Mus musculus: one gene and its partners. The protein of the gene in region 1 interacts with the protein of each later gene in a biochemical or structural test. Links are inferred from orthologs where the notes say so. Each region holds a gene or a part of one and is shown on either strand. Other genes may lie near its edges.

Evidence for each region. The genes of interacting proteins can lie anywhere in the genome.
Region 2: the proteins of Bcl10 (region 1) and Card9 form a complex in vitro, tested with the Homo sapiens proteins (2 studies listed by BioGRID). The link is inferred for Mus musculus from reciprocal best matches to the Homo sapiens genes BCL10 and CARD9.
Region 3: the proteins of Bcl10 (region 1) and Ikbkb form a complex in vitro, tested with the Homo sapiens proteins (2 studies listed by BioGRID, with this or other methods). The link is inferred for Mus musculus from reciprocal best matches to the Homo sapiens genes BCL10 and IKBKB.

Annotation. Positions count from the first base shown.
Region 1 is NC_000069.6:145,922,829-145,927,061, forward strand, and holds the start of Bcl10 (B-cell lymphoma/leukemia 10), read left to right. Parts: upstream 1-1,433; 5' UTR 1,434-1,630; coding exon 1,631-1,687; intron 1,688-4,233. UniProt on the Homo sapiens protein: Plays a key role in both adaptive and innate immune signaling by bridging CARD domain-containing proteins to immune activation.
Region 2 is NC_000068.7:26,354,799-26,357,909, reverse strand, and holds part of Card9 (caspase recruitment domain-containing protein 9), read left to right. Parts: coding exon 1-199; intron 200-265; coding exon 266-445; intron 446-581; coding exon 582-725; intron 726-1,026; coding exon 1,027-1,152; intron 1,153-2,385; coding exon 2,386-2,577; intron 2,578-2,986; coding exon of another isoform or gene 2,987-3,013; exon of another isoform or gene 3,014-3,038; coding exon 3,039-3,080; intron 3,081-3,111. UniProt on the Homo sapiens protein: Adapter protein that plays a key role in innate immune response against fungi by forming signaling complexes downstream of C-type lectin receptors.
Region 3 is NC_000074.6:22,672,084-22,675,583, reverse strand, and holds part of Ikbkb (inhibitor of nuclear factor kappa-B kinase subunit beta), read left to right. Parts: intron 1-513; coding exon 514-621; intron 622-2,091; coding exon 2,092-2,221; intron 2,222-3,066; coding exon 3,067-3,261; intron 3,262-3,500.

The DNA.
Region 1 (4,233 bases):
TGAGACAGGATATTCTTATCTGCAGGGTTCAAACAAAAAAAAACCTACATATCCAAAATGTGGGGAAAAAATGCAAAAAGGAAAAAACCCTCCTAATGTTTTAAGTAAGTTTATGATTTATTCCTGCTTATAGCTGGGTCAGATGCAAGCAGTTGGTTGGCCAACACAGCTAGCTAGCTTGTGCCACCACACCCTAGCTGGAGGACAGAGGTGTTTGATTTGCTAGAAGAAGATCTGGGTGTAGTTCAGTAGTTGCCATTCAACAGATGGTTGCTACAGGAAAGAGCAAATGATTAAGCAAATTGGGTTATAACAAGACAACGGATGACTAAGGACACAGGAAAACACTCTAGTATACTAGACATCAGCGTAAAAAAAGACCTGGCATAATGTAAACACCAAGATTCCAGAACTCTGATCAAAGCTACAGAGATGTGGCTTTAAGCCTCTACTGGTTCTTTTGTTTTAGATAAAGATTCCTGTTGCCTTTGGTCCTCTTGACATTTCAGTCTACACTTGCAGATTTACTTCATCGACCACATAATCATTTTCTGCCTAGGACTCTATGTGGAGCACCTCATCCACTAGGACACGTTTTGCACGGGCTACGAGTTAAAATATCGTTCTGAAAATAGCCATTTGGCCTCCAATAAACAACTTCCCCATCAGAGCATCCCTAGAATTTACTTACTGAACAGAGATAAAGGATAACAATAAGAGAGTGTAACTGTGTACCAAGTAGCTTCAGAACCTTAAATATACTCCTAGAGGCCCTAGCTTTTTAAATTTGTCTCTACTGCATAGATTAATAAGGAGAAATGCTTCTAATGAATAGAGACTTAAAAGTACCCAAACACTACCTGTGCTGCTAAATTGATGGGATTGCAGGTAATTTTTAAATCTTTTAACAGTTTTTTTTTTTTCTTTGTGTTTTGTCGTTTTGTTTTCTGCTCTCAAGATCTCCTTGCTCCTGTCTCCCTAGTTCTAGGTGGTAAATGGCAGTGGCCCCCCAGAGCAGGCCCTCAAACGGAAGTTATGTGTGCGTGTATACATATACGTATGATCACGCAACTGTAAAACCTGGCTCAGCACAACAGGAAATTGTTCCGCAACATCTGGAAAAGAGAAGCAAACCAAAATGCTCTGGCCGACTCAGCCCACACTCCACCCAAACGAGGAGTCTGCGAAGGCGGGGAGATCCCGCTAAACTGAGCGGCCAGTGCTCCGCCCACGGAAACAAATCCTTCAGGCGTCCAATCCGCAAGCCTATGTAAATGACAAGGGGGCGTGGTTAGAGGGACGCCCGCTGTGGGCGGAGCCACTGCGGAAGCAGAGACGTAACCGAGGGTAGTACTGATTGGCTGGCACGTAGGTGGGTGGGGCCTGCAGGCAGACCCGCCTCGCCGAAGGGTGGTGCCTGAGTTAGGAAGAACGCTGAGCGCGGCACCGCTGGCCCCAGGGGCGGAGCCGGAAGTGGGGCGTTGAGGTCTCCACCTCCTCGTCCGTGAGCCGGCCGTTCCCCCGCTTCTGTTCCTAGTCCCCCCGAAGTCACAGCCTGATTCCCGGAGGCCCGAGCCCTTAGTCTGGGCGGGGTGGCGCGGGCCGGAAGGACGCCATCCCGGCCTGGGCCATGGAGGCTCCCGCACCGTCCCTCACGGAGGAGGATTTGACTGAAGTGAAGAAGGACGTGAGTAGCTCCGCCGGGCTGGGCGCAGCGGGGCGCAGCGGGGCGGGCGGGCGGAGGAAAGCGGAAACCCGGAGCTGAGCGACGGGGAACTTCAGGTCGGAAGAGCGCGGGGTCCTGGCACAGCACGACCTGCCTGCTTCCCGGGAGCTGGCTGGAGACGATCCACCAGCGACCCGGGAGTCCGCGGTTAAGCCTGTCGGTGGGCTTGGATGTTTCCTTGCCATCCGCTCGTCGCTGGTGGCTTTCCATCCTGCCGATCCCCCATCCCACGCCACCGCCGCGGGAGCTGCTAGCCTAGGGAGCCGCCGGAGTGTGCCCACAGCGGGCTTTGGACCAGGCATCCCCGGGCGTAGAGCAGATGGGTGAAACTGGTCTCTATCGGGGGCTGCGGAAAGCTCGCCAGCTGAACGCACGCCCTGGAATTCCCCGAGTAATCAGACGCCCACGTATTTAAATGAAGGGGGTGTGCGTACTTCTCGCTGAGACTTGGTTCCCAGGTAAACGTTGAAAATACTCCCGACTAAATTGGACTCTTCTGCTTAGACCATGTAGAACTTCACAGACACAGTAATATTTGAGGAAATGGCTTTAACCACAACGTGCTTCGTTTTTTTTTTCCTTCCTTTTAACTTCTTTTGCCAGAAAAAAAAAAAAAATCAAATGAGCACAACTTAGATAATATACATGAATTCACATTAAAAACCGGTAACTCGTTCTTACTTAGCACCAAAATGCTGCCGAAAAATCGTCTTTACGAACTTAACCTCAAGTTGTTGAAGATGTATGTGTGCTTCAGACCCCTTTTTCTACCATACTTACCCCTTGTAAAGTTTATTGCGCTGTGCCCATAATTACAACTGATAGAGCTAAGTACCAGGAGGGAAAGGTACGGCCAGGATAACTGCCATAGTTTCCGTGTTCAGTGGAGTTGGTAGGGCACCTGCTGTATGGAAAGCTACACATTCTACTTGAAACAAGGTCTTTGATACCCACTATAGTCCTTAAGAGGACAGTAAACCCTAAGTGTAAAGTCTGGGAGCTCTGTTCCCATGTTCCACAGTTTTGAATTTTCTCACAATCATTAAAGTACCTATAAGGAGAGAATTGCTTTTCATTTTATAGCTGGCAAAACAAGACAAGACCTGTCTGTAGATAGGGGAGGAGAGTGCTGCAGGCCTTTGTTTCTGCTCCGGGGTTCATTGACGTCATCCATCCTGACAGTTGCACGTTAGACCTGTGTCAGATGTCCATAACCTTAGAGAGACTACAGAGAAGCGTCAGGGTGTCTATAAAAATAGTGTTCCTTAGATATTCACCCTATTATTTTTGAAACTGCTTATGACAAGCTTAAACATTCATCCGCATTATTTGAATCTCCTTTTTTTCTCAACTCCAGGACTTTATTTCCAAGTCTACCAGAACTCAAACTATAATTTCATACATTTGGCTGTTGTTTTGTTTCTCTGTAATTCTGACTGTCCTGGCACTCACCTGTAGAACTAGCTGGCCTCAACTCCCTTCCTCTGCCTCCCAAGTGTTGGGATTAAGGCATGAGCCACCACTGCCTGCTATGTTCTTATGTTTTCAAAACTTGAACTTTTCATTATCCTTCCCCCAAAACTGCTTGGTGTCCCTTCTGTATTATCTGTCTTGATAAATGGTGGGAAGTTGTTTACATGAGGCTGTCTGTCTGTCTCAGGGTTTGCTTTCTGTGGCTTCTGTTGCCTGTGGGTCAGCTATGGTCCAAAAATATTTAATTATTTAATGGGAATTTGATACGGTTATAGTGATACAAATTGAGCACTCTTCTAAGTACCGTGACAAAATCTTGTGCCATCTCACTGCATCTAGCCAGGGACACGAGTCTCACCTTTTCCCCAGTGTGTGTGTTACCTGCCTGATATCCTCTTAGTAGTGAGCTGTCTTGGATATTAGATTAGTTTTTATGGTGGAAAGCTTGATATGGGGTTGGTACCATGAGGTTTTGCACATCCATAGAGAGTCTTGGTCCATGTCCTCCCATGTTAGTGGGGAGCACAGGCCTACTGCTGGTCCCCAGGGCTGTACATCTTCAGCGCTGCTCCTGTTTTCATCTGTTTATTTAACACACCCTCATCTTGTTAGAACTTGTTTCCTTTTAACAAATAGAGGTAACTTTATACTCTGAAGTTGATAATGTAATACTAACAGTTAAATTAAGGACTAAGGAACTAGAGAGATAGCTCAGCAGTTAAGAGCGCTGACTGTTCTAACAGAGGTCCTGAGTTCGATTCCCAGCAACCACACGGTGGCTCACAACCATCTGAAATAGGATCCAATGCCCTCTTCTGATGTGTCTGAAGAGAGAGCAACAGTGTACTCACATACATAATATAAATAATCTTTAAAAAAAAGAACTAAGACAAAATTCTGTTTTTTACAATAGCTCAATTTCTTGATTGAAGAAAAGTAACCATGAACTGATAACTTTAAACATTATAATAAAGTTTCCATCCATCCAAAGCACTGCACTCTGAAATGCAGAGCACACAGCGGTGGACAGAATG
Region 2 (3,111 bases), on another chromosome or scaffold:
CATCAAGGAGCTGAGGGTAAAGGACAGCCTACTGCGCAAGCACCAGGAGCGGGTGCAGCGGCTCAAGGAGGAGTGTGAGCTGAGCAGTGCGGAGCTGAAGCGCTGCAAGGACGAGAACTATGAGCTGGCCATGTGCCTGGCACATCTGAGTGAAGAGAAGGGCGCAGCACTCATGCGGAACCGTGACCTGCAGCTTGAGGTAATCACTTTCTCCACCTGCAGGGGGTGGCCTGGAGGAGGCTGCAGCTGACTGGGCCACCCACAGGTGGACCGGCTCAGGCACAGCCTCATGAAGGCCGAGGATGACTGCAAGGTGGAGCGCAAACACACACTGAAGCTCAGGCACGCCATGGAGCAGCGGCCTAGTCAGGAGCTGCTGTGGGAACTACAGCAGGAAAAGGACTTGCTGCAGGCCCGGGTGCAGGAGCTGCAGGTCTCTGTGCAGGTAGGGAGACCCACCAGTGCACATCAGGCCTCATGCCTGCAGGGGCTTGAAGCTGGGCACACCAGATGGTACAACTGCAGTGGCCGTGCCATTGTGGGCCTCCTCAGCCAGGCTTGTTGCCTTCTGACACCTCCAGGAGGGTAAGCTAGACAGGAATAGTCCATACATTCAAGTGCTGGAGGAGGACTGGCGTCAAGCACTGCAGGAACACCAGAAGCAGGTCAGCACCATCTTCTCCCTACGGAAGGACCTCCGCCAGGCTGAGACCCTCCGGGCCCGGGTGAGAGACCAGGGCAGACAAGCAATGCCCACTGGGATCCTGGATGGTGGGGTCTGGGACCTGGCTCACTGTCAATTCGTACAGTACACAGTAGTGCCGTGTCACCCTTTGGGCTTACAGTGTGACCAATGGTGGCTGAGGCCATGGTCTTAGACTAGGTTAGTCTTGGATTAGATTGGACTGGAACTCCAGTGCCTTCCTCATTATCCCAGACCTTGTGTGCCCTGGAGCTGTTGCTCTGAGTCCAGCCCAGGGGGAGGAGGAGGGAGGGGAGGGTGAGGCTGAGTGGTGCTTCCTGTAGTGCACGGAAGAAAAGGAGATGTTCGAGCTGCAGTGCCTGGCCTTGCGCAAGGATGCCAAGATGTACAAGGACCGTATCGAGGCTATCCTGCTGCAGATGGAGGAGGTCTCCATTGAGAGGGACCAGGTAGGTGCCACACTTGTGTTCAGAAACGGAGAACCAGGAGTGTTGGGGTATTGGTGCGGCAGACACTGGAGCAGTAGTCAAAGTGTTTTGTTTTGTTTTGTTTTTTTTATTTATGCTCAGGGTAACTTGGCAGTGTTGGAAGACAGAACCCGGGACTGCTTGTACAAATGCATCAAAGTCTACCTTATTCAAAGGAGGAGCTTATGCGGGAGGAGAACACAGCAGTCCCTGTGGTGGGGGTGGGGGTGGGGTAAGGAGGTGGGAGACTTCAGTAGGGAGAGGAAGCTGCTAGGTGCATAGGCTGTGGGTAGGGAGCATTTGGTACAAGAACCTGTGGTGGCTCCCGGGCAGAGGCAGTAGTAGCAACTCACACCTGCAATCCCAGCAGTTGGAGGTTGAGACAAAATAATTACTGTGAATTTAAGGGCAGCCTGATTTACCATGAATTCCAAGCCAGTTTGGGGTCCAATGTGAGACCCTGTCTCAAAAAGCCACCACTAACAATAACAAAAGCGGTAGCAGCTGAGCCATGTTTGGTAGTACATGGCAGTCCCAGCATGCTGGTCCCCGGATTTAGAGGTAAAGACAGGAGAGTCAGAGATTCAAGGCCAACCTCAGCTAACAGTAAATAGGAGGCCACCTTGGGATAATGAAACTGTCTTCCAAGAAACAAAAGAAAAAAACCTTTGTGTTCATTTAAGAACAGCCATGAATCCTGGTTTGTTTGTTTTTTTTTTTGTTTGTTTGTTTTTGTTTTGTTTTTTAATGTCAAGCTGCATCCAGAATTTATAAAATATGTCACATAGGTGGGACAGAAACACCCACTGGCTATCTGCTGGGGATGTAGGACTTCTCAGTTGGGCTTCCTATGAACTACTGAGCATTAATCACGGGTTTTTTTGGCTGCTTCTCTGAAGTGTTTTGTTTTGTTGTCTGAGACAGTGTCTCATGTAATCCAATCTTGCCTTCAACTCAATATATGTGCAAAGATGGCCTTAAACTATTGATCCCACTTCTGCCTCCCCAGTGCTAAGAATCTGGTCATTTCCAACTCCGCCCAGGGTTTGTTCATGTACACTGAGAGCCCTGACTGCTTTGAGAATCCCTCCAGTTCAGCAGTTCCAGCCATACACCAGGGTGGTTGATGTCCAGCCAGGACCTGAACTGCCAAATGAGAGCCAAGAGCATCAACCAGGTCCTTTGCTGAGGGTGTGCCCTCTGCTATTCCTACAGGCTATGGCCTCCAGGGAAGAGCTGCATGCACAGTGTACCCAAAGCTTTCAGGACAAAGATAAGCTTCGAAAGCTGGTTCGAGAGCTGGGTGAGAAGGCAGATGAGCTGCAGCTACAGCTGTTCCAGACGGAGAGCCGATTACTGGCCGCCGAGGGCAGACTCAAGCAGCAGCAATTGGACATGCTCATCCTGGTAGGCCTCTGTGTCTGCTGTCGCCAGGGTGGGCTGGGCAGTGAGAGAGCTGGGGAGGATGTGAAGTCAAGGCAGGATTCCAAGAGGAACCATCAGCCTGGAAGCAGCCCTATCACTAACCTGCCATGACTGCTGCCCTGCTTGTGGCCTCGGAAAATGCCTGGCCTTCCTAAATCCCAGTTTTCCTCATTAGAGCTCTTCATGGCGAAGTGACAGCCACAGATGTAACTCAAGGTTATCCACACCACTCCAATGACTGCAGCCTTGACCAAGGAGTAACCTTCAGGTGGCTTGGAGTGTAGTGTTAAGAAAGACATATTCTGGGCATATCTAGAAACATGTGCAGGGCCTCCCTAGAGGATGGAGCCTGGATGGGGCTCTTACCATGCCCTACACACCCCATACCCAGGTGCTTGGAACCCCTACAGCCCACTGACCAACTCCCTTTTCTGTGGCCACAGAGCTCTGACTTGGAAGACAGTTCACCCAGGAACTCCCAGGAGGTGAGTGTGGACATAGAGTGGTCCTTCCCTG
Region 3 (3,500 bases), on another chromosome or scaffold:
GACCTCGGTTTGGTTCCTAGCACCTGCATCAGGCAGGCAGCCCACAGGAGACATATATCCTTCTACACACACCTAAGTGCAATTGAAAATGACTGTTTTCAAATGGAAGTTGGTCCCTGACAACTGAGGTGCAGAGGAAATTAGAGACATGGCCAAGAGCACTTGGTCGCCCATGCAGCACTACTCAGACTTAGGTTGTCTCTATTCAGTCCTCCACACAGAGGTCAACGGTGCCTCCTGGAGACTTAGGACGAGAGGCCTCCTGCTGGACTCAGTGCACTGAGCTAAGCCCCTAAACACAGTGCCGACCACTCACAAACACTCCTGCTGAACTCAATGCTTAGAGCTAAGCCCCTAACCACAGTGCCGACCACTCACAAACACTCAGAGAAGCATCCTAGCAGCATGCTGCCCACCGTTTTCCAAAAGAATAGTCGTGAAGTGACATTACACGTGTAAACCGGGTACTTGCCACTGAGTGACATAAAGGACATCTTAAAATGACACCTACAGGCACTCCAAAGTCCGGCAGAAGAGCGAAGTGGACATCGTTGTTAGTGAAGACTTGAATGGAGCAGTGAAGTTTTCAAGTTCGCTACCCTTCCCCAATAATCTTAACAGGTAAGGCCGTGGGGCATCAGTCTTATAGATCTTCTTCGCCTCTGTTTAGAGCTACAGGTTTGAGATAACAGCTGACTCTTTTTTACTTTAATTTTATACGTTTGAGTGACTGGTGCCTGTGGAAGCCAGAGGAATAGTCAGATCTCTGGAACTGGAGTTAGAGATGACTGTGAACTGCCGTGTGGGTGTTGGGAACCAACCCTAGCTCTTAAGCACTGAGCCATCTCCAGGCCCATGCATAACTTTTGAATAGATATCAGAACACCATCCTGTGATTGAGAATTTGGACCAGTCTATCTCAACATTAGACATAGGATGGGTTTCCATATCTCATCTTCCTAGGAGTCTTTTTAAAAATTGTTTATTTGTTTGTTTGATTGGTTGGTTGGTTGCTAGCTTGCTTGCTTGCTTGCTTGGGTAGGTAGTTGGTCAGGTGGATGAGTGGGCGGGTGGGTGGTTAGGTGGGTGGTTGATTGGGTAGTTGGTTGATTGGTTGGTTTTTTTCTATGGTGGAGATGAAGTCCCTGGCTTTGGTTTTGATTGGTGGCTTTTTTGTTTTGTTTTTTTGTTTTGTTTTCTTTGGTTTGGATTTGATTTTTTGAGACAAAGTTTCTCTGTGTAGCCCTGAATGGCCTGGAATTCACTCTGTAGACCAGGATACCCTGGAACTTGGGGAGGCACTGGGGAGGCAGAGGCAGGTGGATCTCTGTGAGTTCGAGGCCAGCCTAGTCTACAGAGTGAATTCCAGGACAGCCAGCAGCTGGGATCCCTTTGTGCCCAAGAAATGTTTATAATACCCCAGATATGTAGATACATAAAGTATATAAGTCAAGCATCTACTGATAATAAATCATATATTTTAAAAGAATCATTTGGTTTAATCATACTGTTTAAAGGCAAATATTAAATTTTATTAAAGACAAATATTAAGTTAAAATATTCATATATTAAACTTACATACTAATGAGATTAATGAAATGTATGTGATTCGTTTACACAAAGAAATCTTGGCCTAATTTTTTCATATTTTCTTCATATGTGTGTTTACACATATGTACACACAGAGACATGGTGCTGATCAGGAAACCACGGAACCAGGCAAGCACCCCACCCAGCTCTCACAAGCCTTATCAAAGTGTCAGGGTCACTTTCAGTGTGTGCAGGTGTATGTGTGCTATGGAAGACAACCTTGGCTCTCTTCCGTCGCTCCACACCTTCTCCTTTTCAAGGCAGAGTCTCTCTCTCAGGTCTGGAATTCAGCAAGTAGGCTGAGCTGGCTGACCCCTCAAGGATCCACTCATCTGATAGAAGCATTTCTTATGTGGACTCTGGGATGGAACTTAGGTTCTCATGTGTGCACAGCAAGCACCTCACTCGAGCTGAGCTATCAGCCAAGGAAGGCTGTGTGTGCTTCGGGATTTGCACACTGCGGCAGGCCGGCTCAGGCCTCTCTTCCCTTTGCTCCCTTAGTGTCTTGGCTGAACGGCTGGAGAAGTGGCTGCAGCTGATGCTTATGTGGCACCCTCGGCAAAGGGGCACGGATCCCCAGTATGGCCCCAACGGCTGCTTCAGAGCCCTGGATGACATCTTGAACTTGAAGGTTAGAGCAGAGCCCAAGCAGCCCCGAGGCAGCAGCTGTGGTCCCCAGTGGAGCACAGCAGTCTTTCCAAGGAAGGGAGACATATCAGATCGTGGGCCACTTGGCCTTGTGAAGAAATTCAGGTTCCTCTGACTCTTTGGGCTAAAAAGAGGACAGGAAAATTGAGATGACTGACATGTTTTGACATCTTGCCGTTGAGGAAAAATGGGACTTAAACTAGCCCTTTACCAGCAAGTATGGGTTGGGGGTAGCAAAGGGTCTTGGCAAATCCATGAGCCTTTTGTAAAGAATTTTGATTTTTGGGATAGTGAGATAGCTCATCAGGTAAAAATACTTGTGGCCAAGCCTGACAATCTACCTAATGGAAAAGAGAACCAACTCTTTCCAACTGTCGTCTGATCTCCACACACGTGGTGTGGTGTGCGCACGTGCTCCCCCCTCCTAATATGCAAGTGTCTTAGTCAGGGTTTACTGCTGTGAACAGACACCATGACCAAGGCAACTCTTACAAGAACATTTAATTGGGGCTGGCTTACAGGTTCAGAGCTTCAGTTCATTATCATCAAGGCAGGAACATGGTAGTGTCCAGACAGGCATGGTGCAGGAGAAGCTGAGAGTTCTACATCTTCATCCAAAGGCAAACAGGAGAAGATTGGCTTCCTGGCTGCTAGGATGAGGGTGTTAAAGCCCACACCCACAGAGACACACCTACTCCATCAAGGCCACACCTCCAAATAGTGTCACTCTCTGGGCCAAGCATATTCAAACCACTACAGCATACAAACACACAATGTAAATAAATGTTAAGAAAATTTCTTCCCAGTAACATCTGGGTTGTGTTGCAGCTGGTTCATGTCTTGAACATGGTCACAGGCACCGTTCACACATACCCCGTGACGGAGGATGAGAGTCTGCAGAGCTTAAAAACCAGAATCCAGGAAGACACGGGGATCCTGGAGACAGACCAGGAGCTGCTGCAAGAGGCAGGGCTGGTGCTGCTCCCTGACAAGCCTGCTACTCAGTGCATCTCAGACAGCAAGGTGAGTCCTGACTTCTTCCTGCGCCCTGCTTGCCCTGTTTCCCTCAGATGTGGTCTCCTAGAACACTGTCAGCATTCCACATTACTACTCTCACTATGACAATTGTATACAGTGACACCGTGTACAAACTGCTTGATGGGTCAGGAGTCCCAGGTGGGTCGCTAAAAGACACCAATCATTCCATACTCAGTTTGTCACTTCCAGACCACGAATATTTTCTTGTGCTTCCATTGCCAAAA